Drosophila melanogaster: one gene and its partners. Changing the gene in region 2 together with the main gene of any one other region gives a genetic interaction. Each region holds a gene or a part of one and is shown on either strand. Other genes may lie near its edges.

Evidence for each region.
Region 1: of uif (region 2) and kuz, changing one enhances a phenotype caused by changing the other (phenotypic enhancement), as found in Drosophila melanogaster (one study listed by BioGRID).
Region 3: of uif (region 2) and dx, changing one enhances a phenotype caused by changing the other (phenotypic enhancement), as found in Drosophila melanogaster (one study listed by BioGRID).

The regions. Positions count from the first base shown.
Region 1 is NT_033779.5:13,547,579-13,554,497, forward strand, and holds the start of kuz (kuzbanian), read left to right. Parts: upstream 1-2,560; 5' UTR 2,561-2,715; exon of another isoform or gene 2,716-2,842; intron 2,843-3,563; 5' UTR 3,564-4,024; coding exon 4,025-4,088; intron 4,089-6,919.
Region 2 is NT_033779.5:7,006,528-7,013,488, reverse strand, and holds the start of uif (uninflatable), read left to right. Parts: upstream 1-3,129; 5' UTR 3,130-3,196; intron 3,197-3,579; exon of another isoform or gene 3,580-3,616; intron 3,617-4,839; exon of another isoform or gene 4,840-4,842; 5' UTR 4,843-5,089; intron 5,090-6,961. Other genes in the region: CG43321 (uncharacterized protein), read right to left, coding at 965-1,162.
Region 3 is NC_004354.4:6,531,262-6,540,434, forward strand, and holds dx (deltex), read left to right. Parts: upstream 1-2,737; 5' UTR 2,738-3,151; coding exon 3,152-3,640; intron 3,641-4,259; coding exon 4,260-5,543; intron 5,544-5,605; coding exon 5,606-5,748; intron 5,749-5,816; coding exon 5,817-6,117; 3' UTR 6,118-7,314; downstream 7,315-9,173. Other genes in the region: RpL7A (ribosomal protein L7A), read right to left, coding at 1-170, 574-944, 1,037-1,160, 1,229-1,243.

The DNA.
Region 1 (6,919 bases), 6.5 Mb from region 2:
AGGGGCAGAACCAATTAAAAAATAAAACCAAAAATAATACAAAAATAGTAAAGAAAACTTTACAAATCAAAAGTAAGTAGGGGTAGCGCAGAGAAAATTAAGGAAAATCCGAACCAGTTGCAAAGCGCCAGCAGCTGATCCACCGGAAAAACTGAAAAGCGCGTCTACACAACCTGAGCAAAGGACCTGCAGCCGGGCACTGAAATTCCAGGAGCAGACCGCCTGCCACGGACGTCAACTTATGTAAAGCCGACTGCCGACTGCCGACTGCGAACTTCGGCCCACATCGCGCTGTTCACCGCCCGCCCTCCTCCACCATCGATTCACATTCACATTTTCCCATTTTCCGGCATTACTGCCGAAGTAAGTGCGTGCGAGCGAGACGCCAGCAATGCAATTTTGCGGGCCAAAGTCAGGCAGTTAACCAGCAGGCTGGTCCGCTTTTTCCTCCTCTGCTGCTCCTGCTGTTTCTTCTTCTTCTTCTGCCTGCTTCCTGCTGCCTGTGGCTGGCACATCTGTGTGTGTGTGTGTGTGGCGCCTGCGCACTGAGCGCACAGCTGACGGCGGTAGGGACCAGGACCGAAGTCCTTCAACATCGGGGAGGGGCAAAAAGCTAATCTCGGAAGTTTCAAGTAAGGTATCATAAAAAATCAAGCTCTTTAGCGTTTTTGGACTTTTACTATTTTGTTTTATTCATCTTCTGGTTAAGAGAATATTCTGCTATAAGAACTTTCAAAAAATTTAAAAACAATGCAAACTATAAGATATTCAACCACAATTGTATAAGCCACGTGATTTTAACAATCACATAATGCCTAGACACACAAGTAACCAAACTTGAGGTTGACAAACTTTCAGCCACCTTATGTAACGTGTTGCTCCCCGAGATTTTGACCGCCCAAGCGTGAACCGTCCCTGTAGTCAGAGGTTTAACCTCTGTTGCTAGGCGCCCGACGCAGTCCCTCCACTGCCGACGCCGGCAGAGCTGCGCCGACTGCCGAGCCAGCTGATTTTTGTGGCAGAGCCGAGGTGCCGTGGAATGGGGATTTTCCCGAAAAGTAACGGCTCTTTCGGGAAAAACCGTTTTCCGTATTGATTTCGGGGGGCGCTGCATGTGAGCTTCCCATAAACCAAATATGCATTCTAAAACGCCCGATGAAAGGAGTAGTTAGCTGCAGTTGGAACGAAGGAGTGGGGAGGGGAATCGAATGAAAAGAAGAAGAAAACAAGTTCTGGGCGCACAGTGGGGCAAGCTTAGAACTGTAGTGACCACTGTGCGGCAGCAGTTGAGCTTCTAGTTTGCAGTAAACGCTTCGGTCTCTCTCTCTCTCTCTCTCGCTCACGCAGGAAACCTGTTTTCGAGAATCGTTTTTTATAGCTTTTGCCACTTGCCACCAGACCAGGCCAAAATAAAAAAAAAATAAACAAAAAGTATTTCACAAGTTTTGTTTGCTTGCTTCTTTGCTGTTTGTGTTGTTGTGGTTGTTGCTGCGCTTGCTAGTTGTTTCGCTTCTGTTTATCATTTACTGTTGTTGCCACCGTTTGGCGTTTACCTTTTGCACAATCTTCGTTTACATGAAAGCGGCGACGACACGCGACCAAAGGCACACACACATTCGCACCTACACCCACACACGGACGGGGAACGCGGACAGACACACGGATACGTGAACGCAGACACGAGGTAACGGTAACGGACAGAGAAAGCGAGCACGTCCACCCGCAGCAACACTCGATGAGCATCTGACGAAGTGTTGCCAGGTGACACAACTCAGAGCGTCTTAACGAGTTTATCACTAAAAAATCCGAGCATGTTAATAATGAGCGCGCGATTCAAAATGGTTGTATTTTAACGTATACTCAAATTATCACAGTAAGCGATAGGCAAATTTAAATCAGTAGATAACCATAGCAAATGGCCCTATCCAGCTTATTAGCATAGCAACAAAACAAGCTTCTGATGTAAACAGCTTATTTGTTAAATATATCAAATTTCTAATAGTTTTCATTATAAATCTAAAATATCAAATGTGGCAACACTGGTTCCATATGATAAAGGTTGCCACCAGGCGTAAAAATATTTTCGTTGAAGTGGACGAGGGCTGCAAAATAAAGTAATTTTGGCGCCTTTTTTGAATTTAAGTGTTCAAAAAAAAATTTATGTAAATGAACGAAGAAGTACACAAGCTCACAAAACAAAATGATTTTAATTTTAATTCAATTAAACAAATTCTCTTTAGAGTTTAAAATATTATTTTGCAATAGCTTAATTTAAATAACATAAATAACATTTGTATTTGCTGTATACCTTATGCGTAAGTATCAATAATGTTTAAATATGTTTAATTAGCTGAAAAGTAAGTGCTGTTGCCTAAATAAGTTTTATTTAATGAATCTAACTATTATTAATATACTATAGTGAATACGATGAGTCATTGTATCATCTCTCGTCAATATCAGTATTAACGCACACGAAAACTAACGCATTAGAAAGATTATCTCTTTTTATGATACTGGTCACTCTAAGACTGAAGTACATTTGTATATGTGGTGAGAAATCGGGTAGTTTAAAAAAAACCACCAAGCGAGTTGGACGCGTAACTCTTTGTAACGGATCTCGGAACGCCGTGGGAGTCGGAAAATCGCTGGACGCGTGTTCGTGCGTTTGCATGTGTGCGTGCGTTCGTGTGTGTGTGTGTGCTAATGTGCGAGCGGGTGAGCGAATAAAAATAAATATATATCGTCAAGTCAGGCTTAAGAAATGTGCGCTAATCAAAGAAAATGCCCCCAATTCTGGCCAATTGAGAATTGTGGCTAAACAAAAAATTCGACCGGAGTTCAAGTGAGTGCCAATTGCGGAGACAAAATGGCTGCATTTCAACGCATTTAATTTACTGGCAACACATAGCAAACGAGAGTGAGAGAGAGAAATGTAGAGAGGCAATCCGAGAAGCAACATAAAAGAGAGAGCATGAAAGAAGTACAAGACGAGGCACACGAAAATAAGTAAACATGCAAAAACATTGTTAAATTAGCCCTATTGCGAAGTTAAACTACACATAATACTATTCACGAAAACATTTTTCTGTTTAATTATTTTGAAACAGCATTGTAAACAAATCGATTTGTTGTTCTTTTGTGCCAGCAACAACAAGCGTTTTAAAAGCAACAATAATTAATTTAATGCATTTTGTTGCGTTTGCGCCGCAGCTGTCGCTCTCTCCTTTTCCGTCTTCCGTCGCTCTTTGTCGTCTCTGTTGCATCTCCCTCTCTTGCTCTCCTCTCCGCGCTTGCTCATTGCCTCTGTGTGAGTGCAAAGGCCAATAGCTGTTTTTGTTGTGATTTTATGTTTGTTTGTATTGCTAATGTTTTGGTTTTCCAACTATTCATAAACTTATTAAACAAGAAAAAACGCATACCGAACTTATGAATATAGCGTAAATAGTAAAAAACATAATTATAAAAAAAACAATAAAACAAATAAAATTGCCTATTTTTATATTTAAATAGTATATTTTTAATAATATTAAATCAATCAAAATGTCTCGCTCTTCTGCCTTCAGAAATAAACAATCCAGTGAATAAACACACAAAATCAATCAAAAAAGAAGATTTTTCTTTTTTATTTTCGCTTTTAATTTATTAACGAGAAAATATTGGAATAAAACAAAAATAAAAATATAAGAAAAGTGTACGTGACAAGAGCTCGAAAAGAAGTTGCAACAAATAGCAAAAATAATTCGTGCGTGCGAAAAAGTGCTGCGAAGTTTTATGGCCCATGCAAAAAGTGCTAAATTTGTAAATGGCATGGAAAGTGCAAAGCTCTGATTAAAAAACCCGCGAAGATTGGAGTGCGAGGTGCCGCCCAATAACGCAACCAACTACTGCCACAAGGAAATTATTAAGACCAATCAACGACCTTCGCGGAAATAAAAAAAATAAAAAATAAAACAAAAGCAAGCAGAAATTTGGTGCTAGTTCTGTTTAGTCGACAGCCATCCACGTTGGATCCCCATCGCAAATAATGTCATCAAAATGTGCTTTCAACATTGTATTCGTATCGATCATTTTCATCATCATCGTAAATGGTAAGTTCGAAAAACTAACATTGATTAACAATGTAATCTAAATGGTTTCCGTTCCTATTTCATATAATTTTTTAAATATTTTAATTTAAAAATACATAAAGCATTGGTGTTTTTTTTCTGCACTTGACTCACTGGCAACCGAAGAAACCACAACAATCGGGGCTTAAAATGAAATACAGCCGAGGGTGCTGCAAATGACGCATAGACAATAACATTGGAATAAGTGCTCAATCAGGCGGAAACAAAGTTAACATTTTCACCCAGAACCCTTCGAGCAACAAAAATAATTACGTACTTTGCCAGGATAATTGACGAGTGAAGGATATTAGGGGGAAGGGGAAGGGTATCGTTTTGAGGGTGGAACACAGAGGGTTTCTTATAATTTTAGTAGACACTTTGGGTAATTGTCTTTGGGTTTTCTCGCCTCCCTAACTATGCTGTGGGTGTATTTTGTTATTAAACAAATGGGGTTGCTTTGCATAATTAATTTAATTTCGCTATTGTCACTCCAAGCGAATTGACAGAATGATTTTCTTGTGACCCAGAGTGTTTGCTTTCAGCAATATTCTCACTTGCAGGTGCCAAGGTTTCAAACTCAACCGACTCTAATAACAATCTATATAGCCGTGAATGTACTTTTTTTACACTTAAGTTAGCTACTCATATATGTATGTATGTTCATGTAAATATACAAATTCAGATTCTACCTATTTATTTCCACAAAGCAAGTCCATTGTTGGGGCAAAAAGAGCGAAGAAGGCGAAAAGCATAAGGTATAACGTGAGTCATGAAAACCTGAGTAAAGCTCAGGGGACTCATCCATTTTTATTGTGAAATCGTTAGCTTGGGTTTAACAAAAGGGGACTTACAAAATTTTAAAACTATATACTTCGGTATGAAACACACAGTAGGAATGAAACATTTAGCTTATACATCTACATATATAAATATATATATCAGAGTTGTGCTACTTAATTTATGAATATATTGTGTTTTGTGATAAAAAAAATGTCGTTACTGCATTGAAGACCGTTTTTTCGCCACTTCAACTAATTTGTTTGCATGGCAAGATTTTCCTAAGTTCAACGTTACGAAATTCGAGGCGGGGCGAGGGATCATGACAACAACTTCCACTCTTGGCTAATTAGCCAAAGTCAAGCAACATGAACATGGGTAAAAGAGTGAGGATTGAGGGCCAAGAATCAAGCCAAGAAGAGTGGCGGAGGCAAAAACTGGTTTATCCACTTGGCCGGCTAATCTGACAACAAAGAAAGAGAGCAGACATAAGAACCGAGAACCCAGAAGCGAGGCGAATAGAAAAGGCCAGAGACAAACAAAAAATCTGCGAAAAAGGTCAATGTCTCGGCATTATCTGTCTGGGCTGCACAAACCATATTATAATGATTAAAAATGAAAAAATTATAAAAAAATATATATATATATATATGCAACAGCTATCGGAGAAGAGTTTTTCTCCCACAAATAAGCAGCGGAAGCGAAAGAAATATATAAACCAAAAATGCTGTGAAAAGCAACAGTTCTGAGATACAGTAACAAGATACAGCTGGGAATTAAGATAAAGATACTGTATCCGTATCTTAGTTTCAGCTTGAGATTGCGGCTACTTTTTACGTAACTTATCTGCAGTTTTTTGGTTTCGTTTTTTTTTTTTTTTTGATCTTGAAAGAGACAAAAAAAACTTGAAGATTCGCTGACGAGTGAAATGAGTTTCTAGAGTCACATCTGGGTTTTTCCGGATTTTATTATTGTTATTGATAAGCTGTTGACTAAAAGTTGTTTCAAATATAATTTCAGTCGGGCAAAAAGCTTTCATAAATCACATATAGGAGATGTGGGAGAGTTTAGGATGGGAGGAGAGTTTAGGATGATAGGGCCCAGAGAACAATGGACACTTTGCCCGGGCATTTATGCAATTTTCCTTTGCTTTATTTCCCGTACGTGCCGAGTGCAACATAGTAAACAAACAAATAATGAAGCCACCATCGAAATCTAGAGATGACAACGTGACCGTGGATGAAGAACTTCGTGCTGTTTCATAATATACTCGTACAAAGAAAATGACCCACAAAACTCGTGGGTTTATTTGGTGAATCCGACCCAGATGATAGACGCGTTTGTTCTGTATTTGCCGTCGTATCTGCCAGATACAAATGTATCTGTCATTGCAAAGTGTGTTACTATCACCAGGCGGCTGACATTTATTGTTTGCCGAGTGCCTCTGCCAAATAAATGAAATAAAATGTAATAAAAAAATGAAATGCATACATGTAGCATTTATATGCGAATGTATACATGCGGTGAATAAATCCCTTAAGCTTGTTGAATGACTGAAGCGCCTGGCACTTCAAATTGATGAGTAGCTTTAATGAAAGGGCGTGACTCGATGTAAATTGCCCTCTTCTAGGGCGCTGCACATGCAGGGAAATGTAAATGGCTTTTCCGAGGGTGAAAGCATTGGTTGAATCGACACAAATGTCGTTATCCTGGCAGGTGAAATTCGTGTTGGCAATTTCCGTAACCGACTTAAAGGTTTTTGCGTGCGCATTTTAATATGCCAATTATAAACATAATCCGCCAAATCTTTATCTGATATATGATTTTAGTATATTTAAAATGGCATAAAATATATGGACGTTAAAATCCGTTTTTTGAGACATTACTAATTATTCTAGATATGGGCTTAGCACTTCCTTTGGGAAAGTGAATAATGTGTGCTCTTGAAACCTTCATTTCCACCAGGAAGCCCAAAGTTAGCCACTAAAAATGCGCTTAAATTGGATTTTATGTGAGTATTATGCTGCCTCATTATG
Region 2 (6,961 bases):
ACACTTTATGGAGTTATTTTCTAAACAATTTTCGAGCTACGCTGTCTGACATTAAAGGAAATTCTACAACCTAAACCATTTGTTTATGTTTTTCGTGCGATCAGCTGTTGATAATAGTTGTTTTGTTTTGTAGGTGTAGGTGTAGTATAAAAATACTGCAAGACATTTTTAGTATTTTAGCCGTTATAGTCACTCCAGGGATGCATCAAATTTAATTATTTGAATTATGCCAAACGTTATGTTTTTTGAGATCATAATATTTGAGAACCAAGAAATATTTAAAAGTAAGAATGGCAAAATAAAAATATAAGCTAGGTGTACGAGTACTGATAAATGTGTGCACATATTTAGCATGTTAGTATACGAAATTTGTTAAATGTATGCGTGCTTGTTCTAAATGAAAGTCTAACCCAAATCTAAAGAAGCAAATTTCCACACTTACTAGTTGCAATTAAAGCCTGGCGATGACCAAATCTGCGGGCGAGCAACGCTCATCTGCAATTCAAACTACAATTCATGCTCTACATAGACTGGAAACTCGCGTTTGTTCTAGGTAATTGTGTCATAATTAAAAATTATTTAATTGCGCGACCTACACTAAAAAATCTTGAATTATAAAATATAAAGCTGACGTTGGGTAAGATGCTTAATATGAAATGGACACCTTCCCTAGAAAGAAACCATTCTAAATACATGAATGAAAAGGCACATTTATTGTTAAAAACTTGTTTGATTTTGAGCTCTTTGCACTAATTATGATTCAATTGATCTGTGCACTTATTACCCTGCTTTGAATTTGGTTACCGGTCTGGGCAGTTGTTTGCGTTGAGTTTTCTTTCCTAGCATCCCGTTTGGCCTGTTTGGATTGGCACATTAGCATATATCCAAACAGGATATGCACAAGTTTGCTCCAAATTCATTTGGTTCACCATGTAGAAGTTCCATATGCGCCATGGTTGTTATATTAATCATCTTCCGAGACATCGGGCGCATAAAGATCAAATACTTCGAGGAATTGGGCCAATTTCTTGCCCATAAATCCGCCCAATATAATGCCGGGTATAACTGTGATGAAAACAGCGATGTACTTGTATTTATTGTTCTCCTTTCGAATTTTATTTATTTCTTTAAAGTCCTTGAAGTTGTCTCCACGAAATGGCATTTTTGTGTTTTTATTTCGGTAACTGATTTTAGTGTGTGTTCGGAAATGGAATACGACATTATTCTGATAGAAATTTCAAGACTTTCTCCGGCCAAATTGGGACAGGCACGCCCCAGAACCTAAACGCGGATCCAAAACCCTCATCGGAATATTTGAGTGTGCGCCCTATATGGAACTTCCGTTCTGCTGGCTCAAACGACTGATTTTGTCAACCGTCTGATCGTCCCTCTTCAATTGGCTTGCAATTGTCTACATTTCCGTCTAAGGAAGGGTATTGCCTTTTATTTTAATATTCGACCTGCAGCAGTGTTGTGTTTGTTTGTTGATTAACGGAGCGTAGAATAAAAGGTGTCATTTGGAAAGAATTTGTGTTTTCAAAAGGAATTGTAAAACTAAACAAGTTTTAAATGTAATTAGATAGTTCCCTTTATTCATATTCCCTTAACTAATGCTTTAGCATTAGGAAAACTAAATTTCCTTTTCTACTTCCTAAGAAGTCAAGACACATTTTAATTGCACCGAAATAATAATCATGACCTGTTTTTGAGAAGGAAGTAAAAACTTATTCGAAAATGGATAGATGGGAGTCTAATGATCGCGTGTACCCTATAATTAAATTGTTTTATTCCAGTGGATGTGTAAATTGGATCGATTTATCTGCTTTATATTTCTACTGGAAGCAGTGCATTATTTATCATCATTTTCGTTTTATCTGTTTACAAGCATTTATTTTTAATTTGAAAAGAAAGGAAGTGAAAAGCTTAATAAATCATTCTTGTTAAAGGAATGATAAACTAAAATTAATTAACTCTAAATTCGGCTATTCTCATCGGCTAAGTTAATTGGTTTTAACCAGGTCCAAGTGCAAACAATGGTATTTAGTTAAGATTGAGTTAACATTGAATAATCATTTACATACCACAAATATAGAATTGATTTTTTGTCTAAGAATCCCAGCTGACTTTTCATTGATGGTTTCTCACTGTTATCAAAATTTTTCTTAAGCCCCTTCAATTTGCCTTTTTGGACTCTTCATCCACACAGAGATAAAGTGTTCCTTAATAGAAATCCTTCGGGTTGGGAAATCCCACCATAAATAGTAATTGTTGTGCGCAATTCTATAGAATTCCTAAGAAACGAGTGCGAAATTCCTTTTAGCGACGGATGTGACGTAAGGTTACATATACGAACAAAATATAAAAAGGCATAAGATCTTCTAATGGCCATCGATACTAAAAACAATGAATATCCTTGAAGCACTTTGAAAACTATACACACAAAAAAGGATAACTTGCGGGAGAAATTTTAGAAGTTATTTAAAAGAGAAGATAATCTTGATTTGAAAAAGTACCTGCAATAACCCTAACTATTAAATGAGTAGTTTTTGTTGATCATTTGTAGATTCCATTTCCGTTTAGCATTTCGCACGTTTTGCACAGTTTATGACTTCATAAAAAAAATAATGGGACAAGAGAGAGCAGTGTGTAACCAAACAGAGGCAGCAAGAAGTGCCAAAGGATTCCAAGGGCCAAGTGTAACAATCCCACTTTTATGGTGCTCTCTACTTTGTTAGCCAACCCTTTTAGCAAGTTCGTTGCTTGAGTCTTTCGTTCGGCCACCGCTTCCGTTGCGTGCGAATGTTTGAAAACAGCAAGCAACCCAAAATCAAGGGAGGGTAAAAACCCACCTCCGACTTCACATGTCCTCGGCAATTAAACGAAATTTCCCAAGAAACAAGGACGCCGCAGCTAATCCCGTCTAGGCGGTGTAGCCCACGCATTTGGCCAACATCGGTTAGGTAGCGTTTGTGCGGCGAATTCGCAGTGCCGGCTGAGATTACCGAGCCATCATTTCGGCCGAATTCGACGGCGGCGAATAACGATCGGTATGCCGGTTGTTTTTTCGCCGACCGATAACCATAGAAATGTGAAAAAAACCTAAGAAATACGAAGCTTTTCGGGGCTTCAGTATGCCTTCGACTGTGGCGCGTTGTGGACGTTAAGAGGCTGCGGCGAACCCGAACTCTAGACAAGTGTATGTATCGATTCGACTGGGTTTTCTTCAGTACGGCAGTGAGTGAGTGAGTGAGTAAGTGTGAGCGAACGAAAGCCGTTAAGAAGTCTGGCGAGATGAGGCTAGATATACATATACAGTGAGCCATAGGAAAATCTGTAAAACGGGCACGTTAAGCTGTTTTATTTTCCTCGCCTCGCAGTCTTACGTTTCTACCTATTGCCGATCGCCTCTACCTCTCTTCTCTACCTTTTTTTCTGCTTTCTGGCCCGCTCTTCGCCAGTTTCTTACCATTTTTGCTGTCGTGTCTTGTGGTCTTTGGGCGAGTGTAGACGAGTGTGTGTATGTGTGTGTGCGTGGACTGAAACTTCAGGTGCAGACCGCGTTGATTTGCTGAACAAGTTTCAGTCTGAGTTTGGCCTTCGTGTGGTACAGTACATGGTACAGTAAGCGCTCCCCGGATCTGCAGATCTCTTTGTGTCCTATAACAATAAGTGCTTGTGCATTTTGTGAATGTATTTGCCTCGAAACTGGATTTTATTCGATTGTTTTGCCCAGCAAAGTGTTTGATTTTGTGCCTGTGTTCGTTGTACGCTGGCTAGCGAAAAAGGATTTCTGTGCATTTTAATGGAGGCGCGTGCTTGGATCGTGTGTGCTCTATGAGGAAACTGACCATTAAATGCGAAGCAGCAAAAAACAAGAGGAATTTTAAATTGAAAAAAAAAAAAGTGTAATAGATTAACTGCAACACAGAGGACAATACTACGAAATCAGTGAATATATAACTAACATTAAATGCAAGAGTGGTAGAGATACGACAAATTAATGCGAGAATTTCTTTAGCTATTTTATCAAATGAAGGATAGGAAGTCAGCAGTAGTCCGCTATAATAATTTTATGTTGTTTTTAGCCGAGTTGTTGAACTTCTAGTATAATTTGTTCTCCCTGTTTTCTTTGCCAGCCGTTCGGTTTTTACCAGTCCATTAACTTGTCTGTGCCTTTTGCACTTTACTTTGCCAACTGACATTAGACTACTTGTGTGAGTAAGTAGTCCATCCATCGGGAGTAACACACTCGGGTACTCACTTCACATGCCAGCTGCGCATTTACGCTCCCATTAACCGGGTAGAAATAACAAACTTACGGAAAAAGAAGCCACAACTGCTACCAGAAACTGGCCAACAAGTGTTTTGCACAATGGCCAAAAGAAACAACCACAAAAACTAAACAGAAAAAAATATATAGAATGCAGTTTTGGGGTTAAAGTGAAACCAACAACATTTTTGACTTACAAAAAGTTCGTGTCTTAAGTCATTTGTTTGGTTGTCCAATCGTAGAGACCCAAAATCTCAATAGGAATACTTCTTGGACTATCCTCACCAGATTTTCACCTAATTAACATAAATATTTCTTCGAACATTTTTGTGAACTCAATCCCAAAATGTTCCCAACACATTTCGAAGACGTGCTGCGACTTCAGACGAGAATTCTTGGACTTACTTGTTTCGGATCTCTGCCACGGCATGCATAATTAAACAGACCCATCCCCATTAGACAAACTATAGATAGTCAGGCTATCCGATCATAAATTACATTTATGTGACGCGTTTTCGTTTAGCTCAGCTTTTATTTTAAAACTTTTAATCAACTTAAATATCTACCAGCAGTGCAACACTGGCCTTGTACATTTAAAAGTTTAAATAAATAAAAAGAAAACCGCACCAATAAGTTGCCATAAAAAACACTGACACCGCCGTCGTCGCGAAAGGGAAAGAAACCGTCGTTATTGTCGCTTTTGTTGACCTCAAGGATAACCAGCTGACATGCCACATAAATTGGAATACTAGCAGTCGCGAACGATACGTATCGAACATATATAGTGGTTATATACAGCTAAAGCTGCATTTATAAGAGGTGAGTTGCATATTGAAATGGCAGCGAATGAGTCGGAAAAGAGTGGCAAAGTAAAAAGTGTAGAGTGGAAATGCGGGTTGGATTGAATACTAAGTATAAGTATTAGTCTACCAATGACGTTATATTCTTCTGCTTTTAAGCTGACATCATTGCATACCATCACTCTATAATACCTCATAACTATCAATCAGTAAGCCAAATGAATTAAAAGCCAATCTCAAGACACGCCTTATTTTGGCTTCAGTCATTGCGCAAAAATCCGATTAATTATGCATATGTCTACATACAAATTAAGCCATAAACAATGCCATGCTTTCGTTTTATCCAACGATTTGCAATGAAACTTCGTTTTAATTGTGTTTAAATAATTGATTGATTCCCATTGATTGAGCAAACAATTGGCGTATCGAGAGTGGTTATGCTGTATTCCATATAAAGCCTCCCATATGGATTCCCACTTATCCACAAAAAGTAGCACACCCGAACAACAATAAGAACAATTTCTGTTACTTTCTATTAAACAAAACCTAAAAAATGCTTCGATTGTCTGCCGGCCGTGTCTGACTCGCCTTTGTTGTCACATTCATTCAATAAAGGCCAAGTCGGCTTCCCTATACCCGTACCCATACCCATACCCATACCCGTACCCCCAAAACTCCATCGAAAAGTCGAAAAGCGAGAGCTACCCAAACAGTTAACCTCAATTTCAAGACGCACTCGGCGCGCTGTTGTTGTTGTTGCTTAATAACAGAAACCGAAACAAACCATAGAAGTAGTAGAAAATTTCACTCAGACCAAAGTGAAAAGCAGAACAAATGCAAAAAGCCCTCATCACACTTGTAAACAAGCCACAAAAATTCGGTGTTTGCTTTTTATATCGTAGCTCATTTTTTTTGGCAAAGCTATTTGGCAAATATAAATAAACTGGTTGCTTTATGGAAATTGCCATGCCATGATTAGGGATTCTCTCCGGAGATGAGTTCTACTTAAGTCATTTTCATAACTTGGCAAAAGGTATCGGAACAAGTAAAACTTGTTTTAGCGCGTGCTTTATGCCTTAGTCGCTATGGCTTAGTCATAATTTGTATATTGGTATTTGGCTCACAGCATACAAGCGGAAGTTGTGGCTAAAATGTGTGTTAAGAGTTTAATAGGGATTGCAAGCAAGAGAAGTGAATGCAAGTTTGTTGCCTAAGTCTTTTGATTTGTGTGGGCTTCGCTGGAAAACTTTTGCTACAAAATCGTGAATGGAGTTGGAAAGTTATTTTGTGACTCCGATTTTTTTAAAGTCTTGCTCGTGAAAATTTAATTCAAATTAATTTTTTACCTAACAAAGGTTTCGGTTTCACTTGTATGATCTAATCCACCATTTCGCAGGAAACAATCCCCGAAAGAAACGCCACAAAGTCATCTATTATTTGGGCTATGACGAGTTCAGCATTAGATTCTTCGACCTTTTCTCGAAGTTTGATAATTGGCAGCTGATGCCAATGTATCGGCAGGTAGATACACACAAACACACCCTAAAAAACGAGCAATAACAAAGGGTACGTCCAGAATTTAATTCACAGCAATACCAGGTAAAGACCCATCTTCAAATCCCTACTGAAAGTGCGAGAAGTCAGTTGAAATTAGTGGAATGAAATGTATTATGGGTCTAGTTTATTAGGACTGATGGGTCCTACGCATGGTTCACATGAATGACAAATCTCTTGCCGCATATCAAGTGTCAGTTGGCCATTAAAAGAATGGAATGCCAGGGCGTTGTCGGCGTTAGTCTTAAGAGAGATCCATCCATCAGCGGTCTGATCTGGACCAAGATCTTTTCCGACATGCTAGTAAATTATTATAAAGAGAGAGATAGAGATGGCT
Region 3 (9,173 bases), on a different chromosome or scaffold from region 2:
ACAGCCTCCAGGACCTTGCCGAAGTTGGCCTTGTCGTTGTTATCGACGGTGGTCAGGGCGAGGGTGGTGCAGGTCTTGCGACGCACCAGGCGACCCAGACGAGCCTTACCCTTCACAATGCAGTAGGGCACGCCCATCTTGCGGCACAGGGCGGGCAGGAAGAGCACCAGCTGGAATGGAAATTAACGCGTTAATCAATTGTCGTCTTGGAAAACCACGTGGTTCGTGGGCTTGCGCATTGTATGCAATCAAGTTGCCCTCAATTCTTCAAATGTTAACTTTATCTTTGGCTTAGTTATTAGATCTAGTTGTTAGCTCTTCAACTAATTCAAAGATAAACCAAGGATTTAGCAATCCTTAACAAAGAATTAAGGCGTCAGGAGTCAAATTTCTACATGGCAGCAACCCACTCCGCCGGAGCAGGATAACCTGCTAGCCGCCGGAAGCGAGAAGCCTTGAGTTGAAGAAATTTTTTCATCATCGCAACGTGATTGAGAACCATGTATATTTGCAAATTTGCAAATATTTGGATGATGTGCAAGCTTTGAGCTGCGACAATTGAGTCAAACTAACCTCCAGAGGATCAACATCGTGGGCAATGACCACCAGTTGGGCCTTCTTCTGCTCGATCAGCTTGGTCACCGTGTTGGTACCGGCGGACACATAGCTGGGCTTCTTCTTGGGCTCCACATCCTTGCCCTTGGCCTTAGCCTCGGCGATCTTCTTCAGGCGCAGCTTCTTGGCCAGCGGCGACTCGGGGCGGTACTTCTCCAGCAGCTTGAACAGCTTCACGGCGGTGGTCTTGTCCAGAGTCTGGCTGAACTGGTGGATTGGTGGTGGGACCTTCAGGCGCTTCTGGAGCACAGCCTTTTGACGCTGCACCCGGATGTATTTGGGCCAGCGAACGAAACGGGACAGATCGCGCTTGGGCTGCACATTCTGGCCTGCAAAGTGAGAGAATATGTATACATTTAGCTAATATGTAAGAAATTCCGCTGCAATATTCATATATATAGAATATGTTTTGTGCACTTACCGATTCCGAAGTTCTTGGGACGCTTCTCGAACAGCTGGTTAACAACCTTCTTGACCACGGGCTTCTTGACAGCCAGAGGAGCGGGAGCCACCTTCTTGGTCACTGGCTTCTTCTTTGGCCTGGGCTGTAAACGCAATGAAAACACGCATTAGGTTAATTCGAGTTAACAGCAAATTTACGCCGATAACTCACCTTCTTGACAACCATTTTCAAGCGGTTTTAAAGTTTGCTACCGAAATAAGCAGTTGCTAAAAAAGAATTAGCACATTAATACGTTTTAAACTTGGTAAAGTTAATGGGAAAACACGCAAAACTTCGGCGACCAGCAAAACACGTGCATGAAAAATGTAAGTACGGAAAGAAAAAAAAAACCATGTTGCTTGCGTGTGTGTGTGTGTGTGTGTGTGATAATTGGGTATAAACAACACACGTTTTTTCGCAGATTTTCCGAAGAAATCTACTCCGTTTTCATTAAATTGAAGAAATATTACTTTCATTTTGATAACTTTGAAGTTTTAAGGTTTCTTTAACAACACTTCTACACACACACTCCATACACCTGCACCAACACATGCACAAAAACATGCCGCAACGCACATTTTTGTTCAAATGGGTTGGAATTTGGCAATTTCACTACAAAAAAAAAAAAGGTTTTCGGAGTATACTGCGTACTTCACGTGTTGTTTACACTTTGTTCTTTTAAGTGGCACATTTAAATCCGGCTTTGGAAGCCCACAGAAAAAAAATTATACAAAAAATTTGGTTTTGCACACATTTTCGCCGGCCGCGTAGTTTTTGGGTGAATTTCTGGAATTGTGAGCTTTACCTGTGATAAGCACGACCACGAACGTATCGAAATACTCGCTGAAAGTAAATAAAATATTGGTTTTTAGCACAAAATTCAGGACTGCTCGCTAGGCACATGCACTCACCGGAAACGTGGAACGAAAAAGAAAGGAAGTGGCAGTTCCAATGTTGGAAATCGAGTAGATTCGATCTGACCGTGCCACATTTGCACCGAAACGCCAAAAGAAGCGATATACCGAGGTGAGAGGCTATGCTTATTCTTAGCAGAGACTCGCTCCATTTATGTTTTAAAAATTTTAAGGTACATCAGATAAGTTAAAAAACAATGTTATTTAAGCGTAACTTCTTTTTTAATAGGCCAGCGCTTGAAAACGAATCAAATCGTGGTCAGAATACCTTTCGTTTAAATAAAAATAATATATCTAACATTCCATCCTATCTAGGACATACACCACAAATGTGATCGTTACAGCAAAGACATGCTCAAATTATGAATTTCTTAAAAGTGACCGATTTGTATTACCGAAAATCTTGAAAAGAAATACTAAATAGAAAGAAACTTTGGAAGCAGCCAGTGTTGGAGGTCGCGTTGCTTAAGAAAAGTAGCTTAAACTTGCCAAAGTAAATAAAAAATATTGAAATTAATATCAAGTAAAATCATTGCAAGTTCTTATTTTTTTCATTTCAATATAGAATTCAATTACACATATATTAATTGATTAATTAACAAGCTAAAAATAGTATCTGTTTATATTCAAGTGCAAGAAAAGAAAATAAAAAATATTAAACATTTAGCTAGATCTAGCTAGCAACCAGTTATGCCAACCCTGAAACTACCGAATCCAACTGGTGGCTGCAGATGCAGTGCGGTATTTTCATCCGGCCTTATTTAGCCATTTTCCGCTGTTGTCTCTCATTAAATCGCTGTCCAACAATAAAAATTTCTCGCCTGCGCTTGCGCTAAATGCTAGAAAAACTGTTTTTACCATCAAACGTGAATTCTTAAGCTGCGCCTAAACGAAACCGAGTGACTAAAGAACCAGAACGAAAACTTCGGGAAAATGGAAGCCAGGGAAAATCAGGGATAACTAACGCTGGCAGCGGGTCCACCATTTTTAATTTCTTTGTTTATTTTGTGCCCATCTTCGCGAGCGAGCGAGATAGCGCGACAGCAACAGCAAGAGAGAGCGAGAGAGAGAGAGTGAGTGAGTGAGAGCTAGTGAAGAGAGCGCAGGAGGAGTTGGATATGGAAATGGGCATGGATATGGCAATGGGCTCACTCCACGGATAACGGATCAACTGCAAGCAATGGCCAGCAGCGCCGGAAGTGCGGCATCCGGATCCGTTGTTCCCGGTGGCGGAGGTAGCGCCGCCTCCAGTTGTGCCACCATGGCCCTGTCCACCGCCGGATCCGGTGGGCCGCCCGTGAACCACGCCCACGCCGTCTGCGTGTGGGAGTTCGAGTCGCGCGGCAAGTGGCTGCCCTATTCGCCGGCGGTGTCGCAGCACTTGGAACGCGCCCACGCCAAGAAACTGACGCGCGTCATGCTGAGCGATGCGGATCCCAGCCTGGAGCAGTACTACGTCAACGTGCGCACAATGACCCAGGAATCGGAGGCGGAAACGGCCGGCTCCGGCCTGCTGACCATCGGTGTTCGGCGCATGTTCTACGCACCCAGCTCGCCGGCGGGCAAGGGCACCAAGTGGGAGTGGTCGGGCGGCAGTGCCGATAGCAACAACGACTGGCGGCCCTACAACATGCACGTCCAGTGCATCATCGAGGACGCCTGGGCGAGGGTGAGTGCCGTGCAGAATCGAATGTTTTCCCATTGGCAGTCTAGTTGGAATTTTGAGTTGCTCAGGAATTTTTTTATCGGGAGAATATATGGGGAATCTTAAAAGAGTGTGGGTTTACCACTGATCCTGAAGAATTGGCTAAGGATGCACCAGTCTGTGATGTGTCCATAGGTGTTTAAATAGTACATATAAGCCAAATTCCACAGTTCACATCTCAGCCAAAAAACGTAGTAGATCGAAGAAGTGTACCTTTTTGAATTTCTGATGCTTAGACAAATAAATCTGCATTTAAATTTTTTAGCTAAAATCAAATTAATTTTTTTTTCAAAAATTTCCATTTTTGCAACCTCAAAATGGGACAAAAAAATTGAAAAAAAATTTAATTTTCACTTTTGTAAAAGTTTGAATACAGAAACTTTCTGCTTTAAAAATAATGACTATTAAAATCATTCGCACTTAAATCGCTGGAGTTTTGGCTGAGTTATGGTATTATGATCAAATTTTAGGGGCTATATAAATTTATTCTTCTTCTTGCACAAAGTCCAACTGCAACCGCATATCAATCAATCAATATCATCAATTATAGATTGTAACATAACTTATTCCTACTCCCTTGCAGGGCGAACAAACCTTGGACCTGTGCAACACCCACATCGGCCTGCCGTACACCATTAACTTTTGCAATCTCACCCAGCTGCGCCAACCCAGCGGACCCATGCGCAGCATTCGGCGTACCCAACAGGCGCCGTATCCCTTGGTGAAACTAACGCCACAACAGGCCAACCAACTCAAGTCGAATTCCGCCAGCGTGAGCAGCCAGTACAACACTCTACCCAAACTGGGAGACACCAAGAGCCTGCACAGAGTGCCCATGACCAGGCAACAGCACCCATTGCCCACCAGCCATCAAGTGCAGCAGCAGCAGCATCAGCACCAGCATCAACAGCAGCAGCAGCAGCAACATCATCACCAGCATCAGCAACAACAGCATCAGCAACAGCAGCAACATCAGATGCAGCACCATCAAATCCATCATCAGACGGCGCCCAGGAAGCCGCCCAAGAAGCACAGCGAGATCTCCACCACCAATCTACGCCAGATACTCAACAACCTAAACATCTTCAGCAGCAGCACTAAGCACCAATCGAACATGTCGACGGCGGCCAGTGCCAGTTCATCCTCCTCATCGGCCTCGCTGCACCATGCCAACCATCTGTCGCATGCGCACTTTTCGCACGCCAAGAACATGCTGACTGCCTCGATGAACAGTCATCATAGTCGCTGCTCGGAGGGATCGCTGCAGTCGCAAAGGAGCAGCCGGATGGGCTCGCATCGCTCGAGATCGCGTACGCGGACCTCGGACACGGACACGAACAGTGTGAAATCGCATCGGCGGAGACCCAGTGTGGACACTGTGTCCACTTACCTCAGCCACGAGAGCAAGGAGAGCCTGCGCAGCAGGAACTTTGCCATTTCGGTCAATGATCTGCTGGACTGCTCGCTTGGCAGCGATGAAGTTTTTGTGCCCTCGCTGCCGCCATCGTCGCTGGGCGAAAGGGCGCCGGTGCCGCCGCCATTACCACTGCATCCGCGACAGCAACAGCAGCAGCAACAACAGCAACAGCAGCTGCAGATGCAACAGCAGCAACAGGCGCAGCAGCAGCAGCAGCAATCAATCGCCGGTTCGATTGTGGGCGTGGACCCGGCCAGCGATATGATATCGCGTTTTGTCAAGGTGGTGGAGCCACCGCTGTGGCCCAATGCCCAGCCCTGTCCCATGTGCATGGAGGAGCTGGTGCACTCCGCCCAGAATCCGGCCATTTCGCTGAGTCGCTGCCAGCATCTCATGCATTTGCAGTGCCTCAATGGGATGATAATTGCCCAGCAAAACGAAATGAACAAGGTGAGCACGCGAAAGCGATGCCAATTAGAAAGAGAAAGTTTATTTAAATTTCATTCCCCTAGAACCTTTTCATCGAGTGCCCTGTATGCGGCATCGTTTACGGCGAGAAGGTTGGCAATCAGCCCATTGGCAGCATGTCGTGGAGCATAATCAGCAAGAATCTGCCAGGACACGAGGGTCAGAACACCATACAGATTGTTTACGAGTAAGTGTGAATGTGCCTGTGGCCACTGAGCAATCAACTATAATCACTCTTTTTCATTTGCATGGCAGCATTGCATCGGGACTGCAGACGGAGGAGCATCCGCATCCGGGTCGTGCCTTCTTCGCCGTGGGATTTCCGCGGATCTGCTACTTGCCGGACTGCCCGCTGGGGCGAAAAGTGCTGCGCTTCCTCAAGATTGCATTCGATCGTCGGCTGCTTTTCTCGATCGGACGATCGGTGACCACCGGACGCGAGGATGTGGTGATCTGGAACAGTGTGGATCACAAGACGCAGTTCAATATGTTTCCGGATCCCACCTATTTGCAACGAACCATGCAACAGCTGGTGCACCTGGGCGTGACGGATTAAGGATTAGTTCCCTGTCCCCGAGTAGAACTACCAACCAACCAATCAACCAACCACCCACCCACCGAAGTCCCCTCGATCATTCTCTTCCATTCGTCGTTAAGTTACTTTCTACATAATCTCAGTGTGTGTGCAATCCTCGTTTACTATGATATATTTTTTTTATAGATATATTGTAATAGCGTTCGAGCTGCTCGAACCCTAAAACAACAGCAAACCACAATTGCAATTGTAGCTTCCTTTCCGCTCTTCCAATTCGTATTTGTACGCACATACGCAATAAGTTGGCGTACATCATATGTATTAGCTAGTTAGTTAGTTAGTTAGTTGTAGCTGTAGTTCCCAAGAGAATCTTGACCCAAGACACCTACTAGTATTAGGCATTATCCTGATTCTTGATTCCTGATTCGATTCAAGCCAAGCCAAGCCACGCCATTCGAGTGCAAGCTGTGCCAAAATCGTAGCGCTCCCGTTTATAGGATATGTATATTGTTGATATAGCTAGCTATAACCATTGCCCATCTCTCCATCTCTCTCGGTTTCGAATTTGTCTCTTTCATCAGATCCATGTGAATTTTCTTTATATCGGATTTATATAGGATTAAAATAGTATTTTGAGAGAGGAAATGGAGATGGGTAAATTCGATAGACTTGTCTCACTTGTCTTGGCCATTTAATCTCTTTCATTCAGCGAATTTGATGTGATTTTAATTTGAATTATTCATTATTAAACGGAGCATTTAGGAAGCATAGTTGTAACGCAGCCAGATATTCCATTACGCATATACATATACATATACATATACATACATACATAAACATATTTTAACATAGCCCCATAGCCATACGACATAACAATAATTTTTTTTATCGAATCCCTTGCATACATTTGATGAATTGTTGCTTTCATATTGATATCATCGAGCATCGAACGAACTATCGTATACATCGCCAATATATAGCATATATAGCATATAGTATGTAGAGATCGTACGGACAGCTAGCGGCTACTGACCGCGCCACCATATTTGATATATGATATGATATGATTTTACTAAGTTGTATTTAGCACTGATTAGTTATTAAAGTTCATTGCGAATATTCCACAACAAATTCCACACCATTTATGTATGCATATTACGCATATATAATACAGTACATTTATATATAGTTCAAATAAAGTAACTTTCATTCATGTTCAAATTAAGTCTTTCTTTTGGGATATTTATTCACTCATGTCTAAAAGGAAATCTTTCTTTTTGGACTTTTTCACTTATGTATGTATGTTCGAATGAGTTCTTTCTTTTGGGACTTTTTTCTTTATGCCTCTTATGTTATATTATTCACTCAATTGTGCCATGCTGCTTGTAAACTAATTACCAGCACAAGCTTAAATTCCAATTAGGTGGCTCTATGGCATTGTTGCATTGTTGCCAGTTTCTTACCAATGCGGTGCAATTCAAATCAATCAGTTGACATTTTTGGAACTTCCAAGGTTTAGCTGTTTTCAGTTTTCGGTTTTCGTTTTCAGTCTACGCCGCCGTGAATCACTTAAAATAAATTAATAAAAGACAAAAAATCCGATGCATTTTTTTTTTTTTGTCATTGTGCAGTGCAGCGAGTGCGTGATGTGTTGGTGATGTTGGATATGCTGGTGATGTTGGCGATGCTCTGGTGAAGTTGCTCCGGGCCATTTAAGGCGCAGCGGCAACAAGTTGAAGACGTGTTGTCGTTGTCGCCATGTCGCCTCTTCAACTGCCTACGTGCTGACGTCAGGCAGGCGCAAGGACAGTGTCCAAAAGTGGACAATATATATATAGCGTGGCCCAGAGCGGCTTTCACTGCTCCTCCTCCAAGGGCGGCCAATCATTCGGCCGCAGCTGTTCTTGTTGCAAGTCGTTAGTTTGGCATTAGCAGCACTTGGCCAAGTCTACGATGTGAAAGGATCGAGGAGCAACTGAAAGTTGTAGATTTCTCTGGCTTTGGGCCTGCTTCATATCTATGGATCATCAAGTGATCATTAGATATTGGGATATAGATACAACTCTTTTCAGCTTGAGCACTCTGGTCAGGTATCCTAAAAATAGATGCCTCTCCTGCTGATGCGGCTGTTTTCCTTGTGCCAGTTGCATAAGCAAATGTTTTCCTAGAATTTACAGCATTTCATGCAATCTTTATGCGATTTTATGCGACTGACAATGATCGCTGATCGTTGACATTCAACACACGCAACACGACAACGCGGCAGACAGAGCGCGATATATGCGAAGCGTGTGGCGTGGAAAGAGAGGGGTGACAACAAGTGCGTATTGATGATGAGATCGCTAATAAGGTGGTTTTGGCCAAAATAAACAAGCCTGCTCCACTGACCCTGTGACATTCGCCTTTTGTTTAATTGTTTTTTTTTTTGTCCTCAGCCTCGTCCTGACCATTTTCATGTTTTGTGACAGACACCAGCGATAAGGCCATTCGAACTGGTCTTCTTTTTCAGGTTCTACATCTATATCCATCTAGAAGAAAAGGCCTTAATCCTTAACTCTAACATCAGATATCTCAACTGAAATATATGGCAAACACACACAGTTTTGATGGTAAAAAACAGCTATTATATTGGCTCATAACCCAAAAACCACTTAAGTTTTAAGTTGCACAAGCCAATTGTATTGTATAACATGATAAAAGAAAAATTTTCCAATTCACGCGAGAAATCCATATTGGATTGCCATGGCAAAGTCTCATAAGAAAAATATGCAAAGGGTTTGGCAGGCATTGACTTTGTTCCTGTTTATGTTCTTGTCTTTATCTTTGTGTTCTTGTTCCTGTCTTTCCACTACACTCGTATATACCCCTCCCATTTGCGCACCCAGTGGTCATTAGTCATGCAAATGAGCTGGGATTATCAAGTTTTGTCGCTCTCTCGCTCGCTCTCACTTTCCTTATCGCTCAGGATCAGCTGACGCTGAGAGATATGCATGTTGCATGCACTCGCAAAAATAGTTCATAAAAAGAGCAGCTTAAGAAATGGACACTTTCGACCTGAAGGCAACTTCTTTGTTTTT